Linked DNA regions of Arabidopsis thaliana. The protein of the gene in region 1 interacts with the protein of each later gene in a pairwise test. Each region holds a gene or a part of one and is shown on either strand. Other genes may lie near its edges.

Region 1 (5,692 bases):
AAATGGCAGTGAAGGCAGTGGCTGAGGAGAGAGTTTTTTTTCTTCTTTCATGGGGAAAGTAAAACTTTGCCTTGAAGATTTCTCTCTTCAATATTTTTCTAAGACTTTTGATTTCAACGAATCACTGTCCTTAACCTAAAAGCAAGAAAAATTAGCTTTATACTGGTCTTTACTTTTTTTTAACATATTTATTTTTATATAGTTTACTTATAAACATAGACATACGAGTATGGGAATATATAGTATATCCAACTTCTAAATAATATTTCGAATAGTGATAACAAAATTAGCAATACATACGGCTAGTGAAATGTTGATCGAATAAACGGCACTGATGTAATGTACTTATCAATTTTGATAATTTTAATTGTATTGTTTTTCTTTTTTTCCCACAGTATTGAACTAGACAATTAAATTTAAAGTAAAATTATACATTTCTTTCGTTGTGTATTAAAGTAACATGCATAATATCATTTTCCTTCGTACAATCCTCCAAATTGACAATTGATGAATTACTTTGTCAATCGTAAATGAATTTTTCTCAAGTCTGTATACTATTTTCAGGGATAAACAGGTACAGGTGTCCCATGCTTATTCTCTTGATAGTAACATGTGTCCTATGTTGAGTCAATTCTACGTTCGAAGAAGTGCTAACAATTGTTAATAGCCTCGTATATTATTCTAATTAAAATGCCTCGATAGATTTGGTTAGTGGTCTGAATGTGATTGGTTATTTTTTCAAGTGGCAAGAGGTCTACCATCTAATATTACAATCAATCGACCAAAAAGGTCGAGAACATGATAATGGTGGCAAATACAAATGGTTCATTGTTGTCTAATATAACAAGCCATCAGTTGTCACTTTTTAAAAACAATACAGAATACAAGATACTTTTTTTTTAAGGTAAAATGTGTGTTTAATATTTTCGTTTATATAACAAATAAACAGTTACATGTTTTACTCTATGATTATATTTATGACATTTTTCTTCTTCTTAACAACATTTTTTTCCCATAAGAACATTTACAATAGTATTAAAACTTTGATTGCAATCAAATGTTAGATCACTTATTATAAAATTACTAAGACTGCTATCTTTTCCTATTGACAAAAGCGAATCCAATATATGTTACTGAAACAAATGCGTAAATTATACTATATGGAGATCTATCGGTTAATTATTGAGAGAATCTAAGAAAGTTTTTGAGTACAACAGTCCTAATAATATCTTCACATACCATATAATATACATATATACATATACACAAATGTACTTTTTAAACCAACATCAGCATACGTATATCCCATCAGGAAACTTAGACTTTTGGGAATTCATGGTATGAAAACCAAAACCAAATGACAACATTCGATTTGATACTCCCGACCCATGGTAAAGAAATAACAAATTCCAATATATCTTTCACTGGACTTTCCGAGGCACATTCCGGTTTTCTCCATTTCAAGAAATTGTCAAAAATAAATTGAGATCCGGTTTATTACCTCAAAAAAGAAGAAGAGAAATTACAACATTAATTTCCGAAAAGGCATAAATGAGAAATCATATTTCAGCAGAAGAACACAAAAGAGTTAAGAACCCACAGATCACACAACCTCTGTCCATGTCTGCTTTTTACACTTTTTTAAAATAAGTTTCTCCTAAAAAGTTATTTCCTATTTATAATAATTTCCTTAGATTTATCTTCCTGGTCTCTCTTCTGCTGCTTCCCTCTCCCCCATAACTATCACTATTTAGAATTTTCAATGTGGAAAAGGAAGCTGATTGTTGAAGCATAAATCCCGGGAGACCACTTTTGCATTTTCAAATAATTAAATTAAACCATAGATACACACACACAGTTACTTACTCTTTTAGGGTTTCCCAATAAATTTATAGTACTTTAATGTGTTTCATGATATTGATGATAAATGCTAGCTGTATTTACAATGGGGGCTCCTCTTTTTTTTTCTTTATGTTATTTTCATTTTTTATTTCTCATAGCTATATAGCAAAGCCAAAGTGAATAATAATACTAGTGAGAGAAAGAGAAGATGGAGAGTGGTTCCAACAGCACTTCTTGTCCAATGGCTTTTGCCGGGGATAATAGTGATGGTCCGATGTGTCCTATGATGATGATGATGCCGCCCATCATGACATCACATCAACATCATGGTCATGATCATCAACATCAACAACAAGAACATGATGGTTATGCATATCAGTCACACCACCAACAAAGTAGTTCCCTTTTTCTTCAATCACTAGCTCCTCCCCAAGGAACTAAGAACAAAGTTGCTTCTTCTTCTTCTCCTTCCTCTTGTGCTCCTGCCTATTCTCTAATGGAGATCCATCATAACGAAATCGTTGCAGGAGGAATCAACCCTTGCTCCTCTTCCTCTTCTTCAGCCTCTGTCAAGGCCAAGATCATGGCTCATCCTCACTACCACCGCCTCTTGGCCGCTTATGTCAATTGTCAGAAGGTGATGAGAGAAAGAAACTTGAAAAAATTACTTTGAAAGTTTCTTCGTAACTCTAATGATTCTTATTTGATTTTCTTGCACAAAAAAGAAGAGAAAGATTCTAGAAACCCTAATTACCAAACTTTACCTTTTATTTCCTTTTTACATAACCCTTTACTTGATGTCTGAGTTTGATTTTGATATCTACTTTTGTTTACTAGTTACTTAACCCAGCTAAGTATATACAAATCAAAGGATACAATTTTTCCTATATTGAGAAAGTTTCAAGAAACAATTTGTAAAAACCCTACTTGCAAGAGATTATCCAAAATATTGTATGTAGGCTTGAAGATTAGGACATATATAATTATTTCATTTTTTTCTTTACTATATTATATATCCACAATAAACGTGAGGATCCTTATCTTAGTTCAATTAACGTTTTTATGTCTATCATTTACTAATTACACAATTTCTTAAGGTTGGAGCACCACCGGAGGTTGTGGCGAGGCTAGAGGAGGCATGCTCGTCTGCCGCAGCCGCTGCCGCATCTATGGGACCAACAGGATGTCTAGGTGAAGATCCAGGGCTTGATCAATTCATGGAAGCTTACTGTGAAATGCTCGTTAAGTATGAGCAAGAGCTCTCCAAACCTTTCAAGGAAGCTATGGTCTTCCTTCAACGTGTCGAGTGTCAATTCAAATCCCTCTCTCTATCCTCACCTTCCTCTTTCTCCGGTTACTCTCTCCTCTCTCTCTAGTTCTCTGTTTTTTTTTCTTTCTTTTTAATTCATATTCTTGTTAATTATGGCGTCAAATTAAACGTAAGATGAGGAAAGTTGTTTTTTTTCTTTGTGGGTTTTAAGAAAGATTTTCCTTTTTCTGATTTTTCTTGGGTAAATACCCCTTTGATGGTTGTTACTAGGGTTAGTGTCAGATTGTTATATATAGCTTACTAGGTTTACGTGTATAATCTATCTATACATAAGTTAGTGTATGTAGTTGTTTTCATTGAATTAAAACAGTTTGTTTACTGTTTTTTTGTTTTGTTTGGAATTGAATTCATTTGCTTTGGTACAACAACAATCACTGTTCTTGTCTCTTTCTTCTCCGTTTGTTTTGGATCTATTTAATTCAAATGCATCAAAAAGAATATCTGGATCTAGAGTCTGCTCGTCCTTAGATCTATTGCTCAATTTAGACATACACATGTTTTTGTACGTATAATCACATATACATATATCTACACAATGTCATATCACTCTTCTTTTCAAGAATGTAGTTAAGTTTATATAGACACACAAACTCACATCTACTTAACATGTTACTTTGAATTATTTGGATCACTAGCCTATTCTTTTTCATTTCCCTAGACACATGTTCTTGTTGACAAATTTGTCTTGCTTTCACATGTTTAATCAATATAAGGTTATGGAGAGACAGCAATTGATAGGAACAATAATGGGTCATCCGAGGAAGAAGTCGATATGAACAATGAATTTGTAGATCCACAAGCTGAGGATAGAGAGCTTAAAGGACAGCTCTTGCGCAAGTACAGTGGTTACTTAGGGAGCCTCAAGCAAGAGTTCATGAAGAAGAGGAAGAAAGGAAAGCTCCCTAAAGAAGCTCGTCAACAACTGCTTGATTGGTGGAGCCGTCACTACAAATGGCCTTACCCTTCGGTAACTCTCTTCCCTTATACTCTAATTAAATAATCATTTCATGTTTTTAAAAAAGCATTTATATGATAGCAAATTCAATTTAGTTGTCTATTAGCTTGTTTCAATGTTTTTAGTGATTTTTGCATTCATACTATATCGTTAGGGACATTAGTTTATGTTAGCTCATGTTGGCATTGCACAATATGCATTTGCATAATTTGAAATCCTAAAAGCTGAATGAAGTGAACTTATTTAGTCTATGTGTACTGTTTTGGTCTATTAGCCGATGACAAACTTGATTCTTGCTTCCATACCTTTTTTAGGGTCCGAATAATATGTCAATCTTAGTCAAGACTACGATCAATTTCATCTTATGGCTGTGTACCATAACTTAGACTAAACTTTGTTGCACATATTTCAAGTCATAACTTTGGAAAGTAGGGTGCATGAGGCCATACCCTAATGCAATAGTAGCTCATGTCTTTATTACACTTGTATAGTGTCATTACCCATGTTCGTATGAGTAGATGGATTCTAAGTTCTCCTTACAATCTAGCAAATCGTGATGTAGCTGTGATCATGGACTGACCTTATATCGGAGAGAACACTTGATGATTGATTTTTTCTCGCATGTGATATGAAATTGCAGGAGCAACAAAAGCTCGCCCTTGCGGAATCAACGGGGCTGGACCAGAAACAGATAAACAATTGGTTCATAAACCAGAGGAAACGGCATTGGAAGCCGTCGGAGGACATGCAGTTTGTAGTAATGGACGCAACACATCCTCACCATTACTTCATGGATAATGTCTTGGGCAATCCTTTCCCAATGGATCACATCTCCTCCACCATGCTTTGATCGATCCTTTAAAACGTTTATTTCATTATATTTATAATCGTTAAACAGCTTATAATATGTATAATCTATGGTTCTCGGTATACTTGGAACATATGAAACATGTTCCGATTGATGAACAAGCGTTTGATGTTGTGGTGTGTATCCTTTTGTGTTGTTCTATTGTTATGCGAAATTCCTATTCCTATTATAATGATAGTAAAGCTTTTTTGATCTATTCTTTTTATTTGACAACCTTTTTGACAATTTGGACCATTTTTTGGTTGTATGTATATCTTCCTTGCTAATTTTTAAGTATTTGCGTCGAAATTTTGTACTTTTGGGATGGAAAAGACGAAAAGAAAAGAGAGAATGCTATTACTCCAAAAGACCTAGTCTGGCCCAAACAGACCCATCACTATCCCAAAAAGACAAGATCGACCAAAACTTAATCCACTTCTAATAGTTTTGTCCCTTAAAACGCTTTCTGCTGTATGTATCTTCACAAACATATGACTTATCTTGAACCGATTCAATACAGCAGCATTTAGCATTGCTGAGAGTGATCTTTACACATATATACGCTTATAAGCTTCTCAAATTCTTCTTCATATGCTCCTCATCATCTTCAGTTTTCAATAGCCATAATTTGTTCCTACCAAAGACGAATAGTTCCAGTTTCTGCATAGCCACAATCTTCCATTTGTTTTCCCACTTGATCTAACCTGAAACTGGGACA
Region 2 (6,063 bases), on another chromosome or scaffold:
ACATATGTTTTTGTTGTTCTACATACAAATTATAATTATCTATATCGTATAAATAAAATAAATACAAGTTACTAAAAAAGACTTTCTCATGAACTTAAACACTCTTTGCAATTAATCAACTAAAATTATCTACTATATTTCTAATTATATTTTAAATAAAATACTTTTAGTCAAATACCCTTTAAAAATAGACATACGTGGTAAACTAAAAGAATATATGAAATAAAGAAATAAAAGTAAATATACATTTAACGGGACCCACTCTTTCCCCATCATGCTTCATTATCATTATCGTTATCATCTTCTTTCTTCCTCTCTCCTCTCTTTCTCAATAATTTAGATTTTTGTGTGATTAAATATTTTAGGTTTCTGCAGAAGGAGACGTTTCCTCGTTTTTGTGCTGTTTGGATCTTCTGACACAATTCACTTTTCCGTATAAGTTTTCAATTTCTCTAATCCCATTATGTATATTTAAAATATTATACTCTTAACCTATTTGAGTGTTTGGAAGAAAAATATAAACTAACGGTAGGACTTTCAAAAATGAAATCTATTCATTTTCTAGAATAAAGTGTTGATGCGTTTTAAGTTTTTATGTGTATGTGGTAATATAAAACTTTGTAAATAAAGTATCTTAGTTAATCTGCTGAGGAAAATAATGAAATGAAATTAAAGAAAAAAACAGTTGAAAAAAGAAAAAATGAAAAGAACTTGGTAACGTAAACATTACTAATTTTATTACTTATAAATCATAATCAGTTCAAAGTTCGTTGCCATCCTCAGTGTACACTCTGAACTTGCTAGATGATAAAAGTCTGCAAGAATAGTAATCCGAAGAATACTTTATGTTCAGGATTGTAGTTATATCAATAAAGAAAGATTTGGATTGAGATGCGTGTGGGATTTCTTTTTATTAAATAAATACAAATATAATGTTTTAAAAGAAAATGATATGATTCTAAATTGGACACGACATACATATCACTATGTCTTGATGTGATAACATTTACTTCATCTATGAAATTATATCGTCTATAAATAACTAAATAAAGGGTGTTTGGTTGTTATGATATGTGGGTTCATTACCTGGTCAATACATGAAAAGGCCAAAGTCATATCATACAAGTTCCTCTGTTTTTCAAGTATACCAATTCTAAATTTATAATAAGATACGTATCACATATATATTACCAAATAATGTATACATATGTCTATGAAGTTGAAATATTTCGAATTTAATATTATCTCTTGTACTGGATGTCAAACTAGAATTTCAACAACAAACAATTATATGCACATTTTCTCACTTAGTTTTATGAATTTTAGCTCCCTATGATATATATGTACTTTGTAACTTATTTATCACCATGCTATATAGTGATAATAACATGAAGTAAAGGTTTTTTGAACATGCAGTATGAAAGAATGCTATGTCTTTTTCTTAATTTATTCATTAATCTTTTTCTATTTAAAAAAACTGTTGAACCAATTGCTCTAGAGTACACTAATTTAAATGATTACATAAAGCTATATCTAAGTGTAGAGTTTAATATCAATTTTGAAAACAAATTCCAACATGGTTGGAATGTCTATTTAGCATATTAAATTAAAAAGATAAGTAATATTAGCTGGTGGTGAACGTAAACACACACACACACACAAATTGTTTTGCGGATACAAGTATATATCAATATATGAATGTAAAATTAAGTTACATTAGTGAATATTTCATGTCCTAAACATTGGTTATTGTCCCATTTAACAAAAAATCCACTTTGGTTATAAGATATACCGACCACAACACTAAAATAAAATAAAATAGAAAGAAAGTGATGAAAAATGGTGGCGTACTAAGGACTGTGGGAAGATTAATGAGTGAAGGAAAAGATGGGTATCTTTTATCTCTCCTTTCTTTATCCTCTCTCTCTTTCAATATATATTAGTCATTTTTATTTTGTTATATATTATTTCTCAGCTTTTTAAATGTATTTTATATTTCCCCTTTGAGCAAGAAAAGAGTTGCAGAGATCTTTGAGTCTGACACAGAGACCAAACTCACATAGCAATCACACACATCTCCACAAACACAGGTATGCATATAAATATATATATATAAGTGTATATTCGTGTGTATGTGTGTGTGTCTGTCTCTCTCTCTTTCTCTTTGATAGAAATTCTCTAATGTAACTTTCCTTTTGCAGCTTGAGATGATCATGAAACACGTGCATCCTCAGATCTCTATCAATCCAGGTTCTTCATCTTTTATAATATTCATTTTTTCTTTCAATTTCTAACTCTATTATTTTATTATTTTATTTTCAATCATGATTATGTCTTAATTTCCATATCCTTCAATCTCTCTTTCTCATAATCCATAATTCATCCCTTCTTCTTCGTCTTCTTGATGTGATCACGATTCTTTTTTTCTTCGCTTCAACTGTATATATATACAGATCTATATTAAACTTATAGTGGTTTTGTTTTTGCTCCTTTTTCATACTTTTGTTTGTTTTTCTATGATATCAATCAGCTTGGTGAAAGAAGGTCAAGAATTGAAAGAGAATCAAAGAAAACGACGTCGTTTCATTCGTGTGTAACAACTACTAATTATACATAGATGGCTGCTTACTTTCACGGAAACCCACCGGAGATCTCTGCCGGATCCGACGGTGGTCTTCAAACGTTGATCCTCATGAATCCAACTACTTACGTTCAGTACACCCAACAAGACAACGACTCGAACAACAACAACAACAGCAACAATAGCAACAACAACAACACAAACACAAACACAAACAACAACAACAGTAGTTTCGTTTTCCTCGATTCCCACGCGCCGCAGCCAAACGCGAGCCAGCAGTTCGTCGGAATACCACTCTCAGGTCACGAAGCTGCTTCCATTACAGCCGCCGACAACATCTCCGTACTTCACGGTTATCCTCCGCGCGTGCAGTACAGTCTCTACGGTAGCCACCAAGTGGATCCCACTCACCAGCAAGCCGCGTGTGAGACGCCACGCGCGCAGCAAGGCCTCTCTTTAACCCTCTCGTCTCAACAGCAGCAGCAACAGCAACATCATCAACAACACCAGCCTATTCACGTCGGATTCGGGTCCGGACATGGAGAAGATATCCGGGTCGGGTCTGGCTCTACAGGATCGGGGGTAACAAACGGTATAGCTAATCTTGTTAGCTCCAAGTACTTGAAGGCAGCACAAGAGCTTCTTGACGAAGTAGTCAACGCTGATTCCGATGACATGAACGCTAAATCCCAACTATTCTCATCGAAAAAGGGTAGTTGCGGAAATGATAAACCTGTCGGAGAATCATCGGCCGGCGCTGGAGGAGAAGGTTCCGGTGGCGGAGCAGAAGCAGCCGGGAAACGTCCGGTGGAGCTAGGCACGGCAGAGAGACAAGAAATACAGATGAAGAAAGCAAAACTTAGTAACATGCTTCATGAGGTAACAACAATACGTATTATATACAATAAGCCTACATATACTGAGTGCTCTCTTATATCACACATGAAGTGGACTTAAAAGTTCTGTCCCTAAGATTTTCAGTCATTTTCACAATTCATTTTATATGTATATTAAGCTATCCTTTTTTTTTTTTGCTCTTCCGATTTCTCAAATTGACAACTTACAAGATTGATGAAATCTTTTTTTTTTTGTCCCTCTCTTAGTAAAGACTAACAACTTTTATAGATTATATTTATGTAGACCGTACACTTATGTTCATAAGACTCACGTTACTTTGTTGGTTGAAAAATGAAAAGGTGGAGCAGAGATATAGACAGTACCACCAGCAGATGCAGATGGTGATCTCTTCGTTCGAGCAAGCGGCAGGGATAGGATCAGCGAAGTCATACACGTCGCTAGCATTGAAAACCATATCAAGACAGTTCCGTTGCTTGAAAGAGGCGATCGCTGGTCAGATAAAAGCGGCCAACAAGAGTCTTGGGGAGGAAGATTCAGTGTCTGGTGTTGGGAGGTTTGAGGGGTCGAGGCTCAAGTTCGTGGACCACCACTTGAGACAGCAAAGAGCTCTTCAACAACTGGGAATGATTCAACATCCTTCCAATAATGCTTGGAGACCTCAACGTGGTCTCCCAGAACGAGCCGTCTCAGTTCTCCGTGCTTGGCTCTTCGAACACTTTCTTCATCCGTAAGTAACCCACTATACACACATGCACTACTTTTCATCACTGGAACACAAACTCAGTCTCTAAGTTGTCTTTCTTTTAATTAGATACCCTAAGGATTCGGACAAGCACATGCTAGCTAAGCAAACAGGACTCACTCGTAGCCAGGTACGTTTCAAAATGATTCTTTCTTGTGTTATTAGGTTACTTAAGAAAGCGTTTTTAAGTAAATTTATTTTCTTTAATTATTTAGGTGTCGAACTGGTTTATAAACGCGAGAGTTCGGTTATGGAAACCAATGGTGGAGGAGATGTACATGGAGGAAATGAAGGAGCAGGCAAAGAACATGGGATCCATGGAAAAGACTCCTTTGGATCAAAGCAACGAAGATTCTGCTTCAAAGTCAACAAGTAACCAAGAAAAGAGCCCAATGGCGGACACTAATTACCATATGAATCCCAATCACAACGGTGACCTAGAAGGCGTCACTGGAATGCAAGGAAGCCCCAAGAGACTAAGAACCAGCGACGAGACAATGATGCAGCCAATAAATGCGGATTTCAGCTCCAACGAGAAGCTCACGATGAAGATTCTAGAAGAACGGCAAGGGATAAGATCAGATGGTGGCTACCCTTTCATGGGTAATTTCGGGCAATACCAAATGGATGAGATGTCAAGATTTGATGTAGTCTCAGACCAGGAGCTCATGGCGCAAAGGTACTCAGGAAACAACAATGGCGTGTCCCTCACGTTAGGTTTACCTCATTGTGATAGCTTGTCGTCCACGCACCATCAGGGTTTCATGCAGACCCACCATGGGATTCCTATAGGGAGAAGAGTGAAAATAGGAGAAACAGAGGAATATGGACCCGCCACCATCAATGGTGGTAGCTCGACCACAACCGCACATTCATCAGCGGCAGCTGCCGCGGCTTACAATGGGATGAACATACAGAACCAGAAGAGATATGTGGCTCAGTTATTGCCCGACTTCGTTGCATAAACCCATCTCTCTAGAAGGAGAAACCGAAACAGGTTATTATATACGTTTCTAGTTTTTAATTAGTATATAGTTTCTCATACCATTGAACCAAAACAAAGAACAAAATTTAATTTTAGTCTTTGGTTATATATGGCCGACGGTTGTATATCGATTTTGTAATTTTTTTTTTTCGTTTCTATTGGGGGATGGATAGGGTTATATATGTATATGGATTAGTTACGTGTAATAGCTTGCATTGGGTGTATACCAAAATATATTTTTACTTTTATTACAATGTAATAATTAATAAGATAGTGAACTGATCTATCAAATATGGAATGATGATTACAGATTAGATCTAAGCTGTATAGATTCCGAATATGACATGTATGCTTAAGCGGCTGGAAACTTATAATATTTTTTGAGGAGTGTTTATGTGTTAAAAGCATATTAAATAAAATTCTACACATTCACAATACAAATATAAAAAAAAACAAAGAAAGCAATCTCTGAAATAAGATCTTACGAACTGTTGAATTGAATTCAGATTTCAAACTTTGTGTATAGTTTTTTTTTTTAAATCAATTAAGATTAACGTTTATAAAACTTGTTATAAATTTTCTTTTCAAGATATATAAAAATGAAAATGTTCAAATCATTTTGTAGAATAGCGTCACCTGCTGAGAGATAAACTTACAATAACAGTAACAATTTTTTTTTTCTGTTATTAAAGACATTGACAGAATATTTATATGAAGACTGCGTGAGAGTGTGAGACTAATTTCGGAGAGGTTTGTAAGAAAAAAGTTTACAAAAACATATGCGAATATTTAATATATATTTTACTCATTTTCGGCCCATAACTTTTTTTGGGCCCAAATACCTTTCTATAGATATTAATAAATAATGAAATTTAGTGAAACACATGAAATATGTTG
Region 3 (7,834 bases), on another chromosome or scaffold:
ATAACCAAACAGTTTTGAATTTAGGAAATAGTCCAATTTCTTATAGGCAACAAAAATATTCTAAATTATCCGTTAGCAAAAAATAATATTTATTGAGAAATCACTTGCATTAATTTAGATTAAGTAAATAGTTCAAACAAAAATTTGCGTGCTACACAATTTTCGATTTGGTATCTGATTCTGGCATGATAGATTCCAACATAAGTCTCCATAGATATATATACAAGTGGGCTTTTCACTTTTGCTTTCAAGCCTTCCATTAGTATTTATCCTATTGTGGATTTATAACCTACATAGCATATATCCAACATGTCTCTCTAACTGTTTGTGGGATGGATACGCACGTCAAATCGATTTTGGAAATTTTTTTTTTTTTAATATTTAATATACCTAGGATAATGTAATGACTAATGATACGTTAATTTTAACAGAAAATAATTGTGTTTGTATCTATACAACGTCATTATAATGTATGGCTGAAATTAATTTTATAAGTATAGGTTTAGAAAAAGAGATAGCTGAAGGTGTAGTTGTGAAACTACAGAACCATAAAATTTCGTTTTTTCCATGCATTAGTTGTGTGTGGATGGTTTACATATTACAAACATCGATGATGGTGAAAGGCTATCGGCCGACCGTGAAATCGTGCAGAGGATTAATCTTTGGATTTTAGTAAATATTTTGTAAAGATGATTTGGAGGTTTAGTCATCAGGCATGTTGTCATAACATCAAGGTTTTTTTTAAAACAATGGTATTTTTAAAAATATTATTGTTAAAGGGATATTTTTTAAAATGGGTAATCTAAAAAGCAATTTTAAAAAAATTTCAATAATCTTTGAGTGATAAAGTTTTATTAATTAATATAGATATAAAATAATATTTTGAAAGTTGAGAGTATCGTTTAACACAGAATGAGATATTTCCTAATCAATTAACACAAAATGAAACAACCTCGATTTGCAGCTAGATTTTTGCTTTATCATATCAAGCTTGAGGTAATCTCTAATGCTTTTTTTTTTACGATTTCGTGATGATAGATGTAATATAGCGGTTTCTGCAAAGAAATTTAAAATAATTGATTTAGCCACATATGTTACCAAAATGTAATTATAATTTGATCGATTTTTATGTATTTCATTTGTTTCATATTATAATTTGATCGATTTTTGATATATCGTATGATTAGTTAATTGAATAAATGTACATACATGAAAAAGTAGTCTAAAATGACATAGGTCTCCCCTAAACAACAAATACACACAATATTAAAGAATAAAATTAGAGAGCATCATAGGAATATTATATAAGTATTTAATTTGTCAAATAAGAATATTTTATTTTATTTTATTTTGGCTCGAAATAAGAATATATTGAAGCACAAAAATATGTGGAAGTATTTATGGTGGTGGTTTGGTTCATTGAGATATGACCTTTGGACTCACCTTATCTTCCTATTCTTTTTAGTTTGCTTTCATAAATTAGTTTCCAAATTAACTCCTTTAAAATGTTGATATCAGCCGACATTTCCGTGATAAAAAGTTTTTTTTTCTCTTATAAATAAATAATAACGTTGACAAAAAAAAAAGACAAGAAAAAAAAACAAGGATAATTTCGTAATTTCAGGATGTGTATAGTTTTTTTTTGTCTTTCCTCCTCATCGTTATTGATATGAAGAAACCTTTGCCGATTAAAATTAAAAAGAAGATGTTTATAAAAATACTTCATTATAAAAAAATGATAAATCAAGATTTTAATAACAAAAAAATATTAAAGAAGATTGGTGGGTTAAAAAGGGAGGCGATGAAGAAAGAACAGCGACCTCTTCTTCTCTCTTCCCTCTCTCTTCCTTTCTCTTTGGGAGAGATTTTTTTATAAGTTTTTGGTTTTGCAGAATTTGCTGAATAAAAACTCTCACTAACAGAGAAATATAAAATAAAAAGAGTACTCAAGAAAAAGAAAGCTAGAGAGAGAGGTATAGAAGAAAACGATAGCTATAAGCTCATCATCAATCATTTCTTTAATTCTCTGCAACTCCAAGGTACTTCCTCTCTCTCTCTCTCTCTCTCTCTATACCATATATGTAGATGATGACCGAAGCTGAAAGTGAGAACCTTAAAAGAGTTACAAGAAAGAGATTGGAGAAAAACTGTATAATACCTAGTTGACTCCTCTCTCTCTCTCTCTCTTTCTTTTTCTTGTATTTTTTTTTTGTATGTGTTATATAAGATTCTCTGTGTATGTCTGAATCCTTACAGGATCCAAGAGCTTTGGAAAAAAGATATAATGAATAACAAGATATGGGTTTAGCTACTACAACTTCTTCTATGTCACAAGATTATCATCATCACCAAGGAATCTTTTCCTTCTCTAATGGATTCCACCGATCATCATCAACCACTCATCAAGAGGAAGTAGATGAATCCGCCGTCGTCTCCGGTGCTCAAATTCCGGTTTATGAAACCGCCGGAATGTTGTCTGAAATGTTTGCTTACCCTGGCGGAGGTGGCGGCGGTTCCGGTGGAGAGATTCTTGATCAGTCTACTAAACAGTTGCTAGAGCAACAAAACCGTCACAACAACAACAATAACTCAACTCTTCATATGTTATTACCAAATCATCATCAAGGTTTTGCTTTCACCGACGAAAACACTATGCAGCCGCAGCAACAACAACACTTTACATGGCCATCTTCCTCCTCCGATCATCATCAAAACCGAGATATGATCGGAACCGTCCACGTGGAAGGAGGAAAGGGTTTGTCTTTATCTCTCTCATCTTCATTAGCCGCAGCTAAAGCCGAGGAATATAGAAGCATTTATTGTGCAGCCGTTGATGGAACTTCTTCTTCTTCTAACGCATCCGCTCATCATCATCAATTCAATCAGTTCAAGAATCTTCTTCTTGAGAATTCTTCTTCTCAACATCATCACCATCAAGTTGTTGGACATTTTGGTTCATCATCATCATCTCCCATGGCGGCTTCTTCATCCATTGGAGGGATCTACACGTTGAGGAATTCGAAATATACGAAACCGGCTCAAGAGTTGTTGGAAGAGTTTTGTAGTGTTGGAAGAGGACATTTCAAGAAGAACAAACTTAGTAGGAACAACTCAAACCCTAATACTACCGGTGGAGGAGGAGGCGGAGGGTCCTCGTCATCGGCCGGAACAGCTAATGATAGTCCTCCTTTGTCTCCGGCTGATCGGATTGAACATCAAAGAAGAAAAGTCAAGCTACTATCTATGCTTGAAGAGGTAACGTTTTCACTCAATATTTTTTCTCTAACCAAACTAATTAATTTTCTATCAAACTTTTAATGAACCGTTCTAATGATTGAATTGATCAAACAACCAATTTCATATCAATCGCTACAAAATTTTATTTTTCTTCGTGATTTTTTTCTTCTTATATAATTAATTCTAAATCGACCAATATTTTCATAAACTCTATATATGTTATTTTCTTAAAAAAATAAATGTATAGAGAATGACCGACTGGTACAAGAGCACGACACATGCTCTAGTTGGTAAAGCCTGATTACGCAATCCTACTATCACTTATATAATTTTTCTAACTAATATCATTATATGGTGTTATATGGTCTAATTTGATATATTAATGCATATTTTGTGTCACGCGTTTGGTGGCATCGCTTAATCAAATTTAACATAAGAAATTAATATATGATTGATTAAGTGATTTAGTCTTCACAACCATAAATTTTAAATTAGAGTTTCCTTCTCCATATAAGCTAGCCACCTTCACTACGTAACCAAAACTAGTCCTTGAAGTTACTTCATTATTTATCTTACAATTTATTTTGTAGTTGACATTATCTTCTTTCAAGAATTTAGTATATGTTCCAAGATAGCATAAATTGTTAGCAAGAGAAGATAACACATTGAAGTATCTAAACGAACTAATCACTTGAGGTTTATATTTTATCTTAGAAATTGAGCTAATAAAAAAAAAACAAGAACTCATCTATGTATAGTTCATTTATTTAAAATTTAATTTGTAGGTGGACCGACGGTACAACCACTACTGCGAACAAATGCAAATGGTAGTGAACTCATTCGACCAAGTAATGGGTTACGGCGCGGCGGTTCCGTACACGACATTAGCTCAAAAGGCAATGTCTAGGCATTTCCGGTGTTTGAAAGACGCGGTAGCGGTTCAGCTTAAACGCAGCTGTGAGCTTCTAGGGGATAAAGAGGCGGCAGGGGCTGCATCCTCGGGGTTAACCAAAGGGGAAACGCCGCGATTGCGTTTGCTAGAGCAGAGTTTGCGTCAGCAACGAGCGTTTCATCATATGGGTATGATGGAGCAAGAGGCATGGAGACCGCAACGTGGTTTGCCTGAACGCTCCGTTAATATCCTTAGAGCTTGGCTATTCGAGCATTTTCTTAATCCGTAAGTCCATTTTCTAATCCCTTAATAATACTTACCTACTCTTATTCTTCGATAATACTAATCTTCTTGAATGTTGACTATACATTATAAAATGTAGACTACCATAATGCATTGATACCAAGACTTTAACTAATATACGTTTATTAAACTTAAGTTATGAAAGTGACAAAAAAATTTTTTTTTTTATAACTCTTTTGTTATGCGGGAAGATATATTTCTATTTCAATCAAAATTAAAAGCTGCTGGCTTTTTTAGAAAACCAAAATAATTTTTGTAAAATGAAGTTCCGTTTCTTCACTGAGTTTGATTATTTTATGTTTATTACTACTAATAAAAATTTAAATATCAAATATTTTTTCCTTTTCATACCACCCATAAGAATGGTCAGCTAAGAGTACTCCAAAATAACAAGGGTAACAATTCATTGACTAGGAGACTTTCATGAAAACTGTATGTTTATATTTATATTAATGTAGGTTATATTGCATGGCAAATTAAAGGGTTTAAATAATTAATGCAACAAAAGAAGTTTGCAGAGTGAGATCGCAAACTTTTATGCTTTGGGATCATAATAGCATCCTAAGGGTTTCTCTGTCTCTGCCTAACCTTTCCTTTATAGTTTTTTTTTCTTTAATTTGCTTTAATTCATTCCACATACTATTATCAAAAGAAGTAACAATGCCATTAACATAACTACAAAAAAATAAGTCTCAGATTTGTCAGTGGTACAGTTTCATTGGTATATTGTCCCTTAAGAAAGACAGAAATCAAAAAGAGGAAAAAAAAAATCTAAAAGCTGAAAAAAGCAATTTCTTCTGTCATTATTCATCAGTACTTTCTCTATTTAATGTCTGCAGAATTTTACTATTTTGTTGTTAGTGAAGTAAAGAAGAGAAGAGTTGTACAGATAAATATTTTGCTTTATGATGAAAAATAAGTTAAGATACAAAAATAAAATAAAATGCTTCTATTCTGAAATCAGCTTTTTCTTTTGTCCCTTAGATTCTCACGCCCTTGTAAGGAGAAAGTTTGTACCTTTTCTTGCATCTACTTGATTGTGTTTTTCCTCTCTATCTATATTCAAAAAAAGAGAAAAGAAAAAAATTATTGGTTTAGGGTTCTAAAGATTGTGAAGTCATTTTCTGGTCTCTTTCTCAGGTACCCAAGCGATGCTGATAAGCACCTCTTAGCACGACAGACTGGTTTATCCAGAAATCAGGTCAGCCTTTATCTATATAGATACATACATCAATATTTTTTTAATATAATATGTTTTCATACTTATCATACAAGAACCCTTTTAATTACTCATTTACATATATGTACTTAACTCACAATTTACCATATATATCAATCATTTCATCATGCAAAATCTGACATGAGTGGCTTCATGTCTATTCTCTTGCATGGATTTTCAATATCACGAATCATTTGTTTTTCTTGGGGTTCGTTTTCTTCATTAAATACATTATCTACACTTACACACACAAGGATATATAAAACATAGGAGAGAGAGATGTAAGTATTTCTCAAGTACATGAAAGTTTGAAGCTTTCATTTCAATGTTAACTAGCAGACCTCTAAGTCTTGTACACATTAATTATTTACATCACAAGTAGTTTATTACACTTGGCTTCAAATATCCATTAGTATATTTCAACCTTCAAATTGTTGTTTTAACATTATTATGTTTCATGTGTTCAAATAAAAAAACATTATTATGTTTCAAATTTTTAATTTAGAAATTTCATCTAAGCCTTTCAGTAAATACATAAGTTAACATCAAATCAAAATTACTTGAAACATGTCAAAAGTTATCTTGTTCTTGTAAGAATATAATGAAAAATTTAATATATATCTTCTTTTTAATAGATGTCTCAAAGGAAACACATGTATCATAATTTTTACTCCTTTCCTATCATTTTAACTTAAGGTTTTAGCTATCCTATTTTTTTTGTTTCATTTGTTTAAACTAATTTTCTTCACAGTAAATGACTTATTATTTTAACTTTACTTAATATAAAACAAATGAAGTATATACAAAAACAATCAAAACCATATTTAATGTAAAAAGGAGTATTTCACATTTCATTGAAAAGTTTTTTTTTCCTTCTAAAAGTTAAGTTTCTTTTAATATTATAAACTTGTTAAGAGTAAATTGTGATTAATATTAGTTCATATGTCTCGTTTTTTCAGGTGTCAAATTGGTTCATAAATGCTAGGGTTCGCCTATGGAAACCAATGGTGGAAGAGATGTATCAACAAGAAGCAAAAGAAAGAGAAGAAGCAGAAGAAGAAAATGAAAATCAACAACAACAAAGAAGACAGCAACAAACAAACAACAACGACACGAAACCCAACAACAATGAAAACAACTTCACTGTCATAACCGCACAAACTCCAACGACGATGACATCGACACATCACGAAAACGACTCTTCATTCCTCTCTTCCGTCGCCGCCGCTTCTCACGGCGGTTCAGACGCGTTCACCGTCGCCACGTGTCAGCAAGACGTCAGTGACTTCCACGTCGACGGAGATGGTGTGAACGTCATAAGATTCGGGACCAAACAGACTGGTGACGTGTCTCTTACGCTTGGTCTACGCCACTCTGGCAATATTCCTGATAAGAACACTTCTTTCTCCGTTAGAGACTTTGGAGATTTTTAGTCTTCTTTGTTTCTCAATTTATTCATCAAAATTTATTATAGTGAATTTTATTTTTTTGGTTTATCGATATATGTTTTTAGTTTCTTCACATACTTTTAAAATTTCCTTTCTTCTTTAGTTTTTTTTTCTGTCTTTTCTGTCGTAAGAAGAAGAGAGATATACATATATCAAGTGAGATCTAGCTACCAAAGTTCCATATATAATTATGCACATATTTTTATTTTATTCATGAAACTTATATCCTTACATTTTTGTATAGTTTTGTTCATACTAATTTTTTGTTCATATTAATACCCCTGCCAAATTACTCTAAATTTTGTTTTAGATTATGATTATGTACATATATTTTCTGGAAACTAAATTTCGTGTAGCATTTATTGGATTCTTCCATTTGATTTTTGCTAATAAGCGACAACAGTCTTTTAGGAAAGCGCCAATAAGTCACATCACTTTCCTTGTAATATCAAATTAATCATCTCAACTAATCCCTACTTACTACAACTATGTGCTCCTTAATTTAGTAATAGCAACAAAATATACTTGGTACGTACCCGATCGACTTATTAACAATTGTATTATCTTCAGTTTATAGTAAAATAGTTAAGAAAAACGTGACATATTTGTTTAAAAAGAAAACAAATAATCTTTTGAGTTAGGTTCTTTAGTTTTTTTCTCTGAGAAACAATTATCCAAAACTCCAAAGGTTTGGTTACATGTCATATTGGGGGATATGTCAATCGAGACGGAGAC

Evidence for each region. Proteins that work in one complex are often made in the same cells at the same time.
Region 2: the proteins of STM (region 1) and BLH1 interact in binary tests that used the Arabidopsis thaliana proteins (3 or more experiments, as listed by UniProt).
Region 3: the proteins of STM (region 1) and BLH4 interact in binary tests that used the Arabidopsis thaliana proteins (3 or more experiments, as listed by UniProt).

Annotation. Positions count from the first base shown.
Region 1 is NC_003070.9:23,058,081-23,063,772, reverse strand, and holds STM (KNOX/ELK homeobox transcription factor), read left to right. Parts: upstream 1-1,709; 5' UTR 1,710-2,050; coding exon 2,051-2,479; intron 2,480-2,939; coding exon 2,940-3,195; intron 3,196-3,885; coding exon 3,886-4,139; intron 4,140-4,767; coding exon 4,768-4,977; 3' UTR 4,978-5,191; downstream 5,192-5,692. UniProt on the Arabidopsis thaliana protein: Required for shoot apical meristem (SAM) formation during embryogenesis. Negatively regulates ASYMMETRIC LEAVES1 (AS1) and ASYMMETRIC LEAVES2 (AS2 or LBD6). Probably binds to the DNA sequence 5'-TGAC-3'. Binds to RNA.
Region 2 is NC_003071.7:15,088,254-15,094,316, reverse strand, and holds BLH1 (BEL1-like homeodomain 1), read left to right. Parts: upstream 1-1,901; 5' UTR 1,902-2,090; intron 2,091-2,138; exon of another isoform or gene 2,139-2,201; 5' UTR 2,202-2,250; exon of another isoform or gene 2,251-2,530; 5' UTR 2,531-2,617; coding exon 2,618-3,460; exon of another isoform or gene 3,461-3,777; coding exon 3,778-4,166; intron 4,167-4,250; coding exon 4,251-4,311; intron 4,312-4,396; coding exon 4,397-5,146; 3' UTR 5,147-5,555; downstream 5,556-6,063.
Region 3 is NC_003071.7:10,107,201-10,115,034, reverse strand, and holds BLH4 (BEL1-like homeodomain 4), read left to right. Parts: upstream 1-2,029; 5' UTR 2,030-2,149; exon of another isoform or gene 2,150-2,256; 5' UTR 2,257-2,298; coding exon 2,299-3,255; intron 3,256-4,022; coding exon 4,023-4,414; intron 4,415-5,416; coding exon 5,417-5,633; intron 5,634-6,610; coding exon 6,611-7,084; 3' UTR 7,085-7,326; downstream 7,327-7,834. UniProt on the Arabidopsis thaliana protein: Transcription factor that establishes leaf shape by repressing growth in specific subdomains of the leaf. Negatively regulates knox homeobox gene KNAT1/BP expression.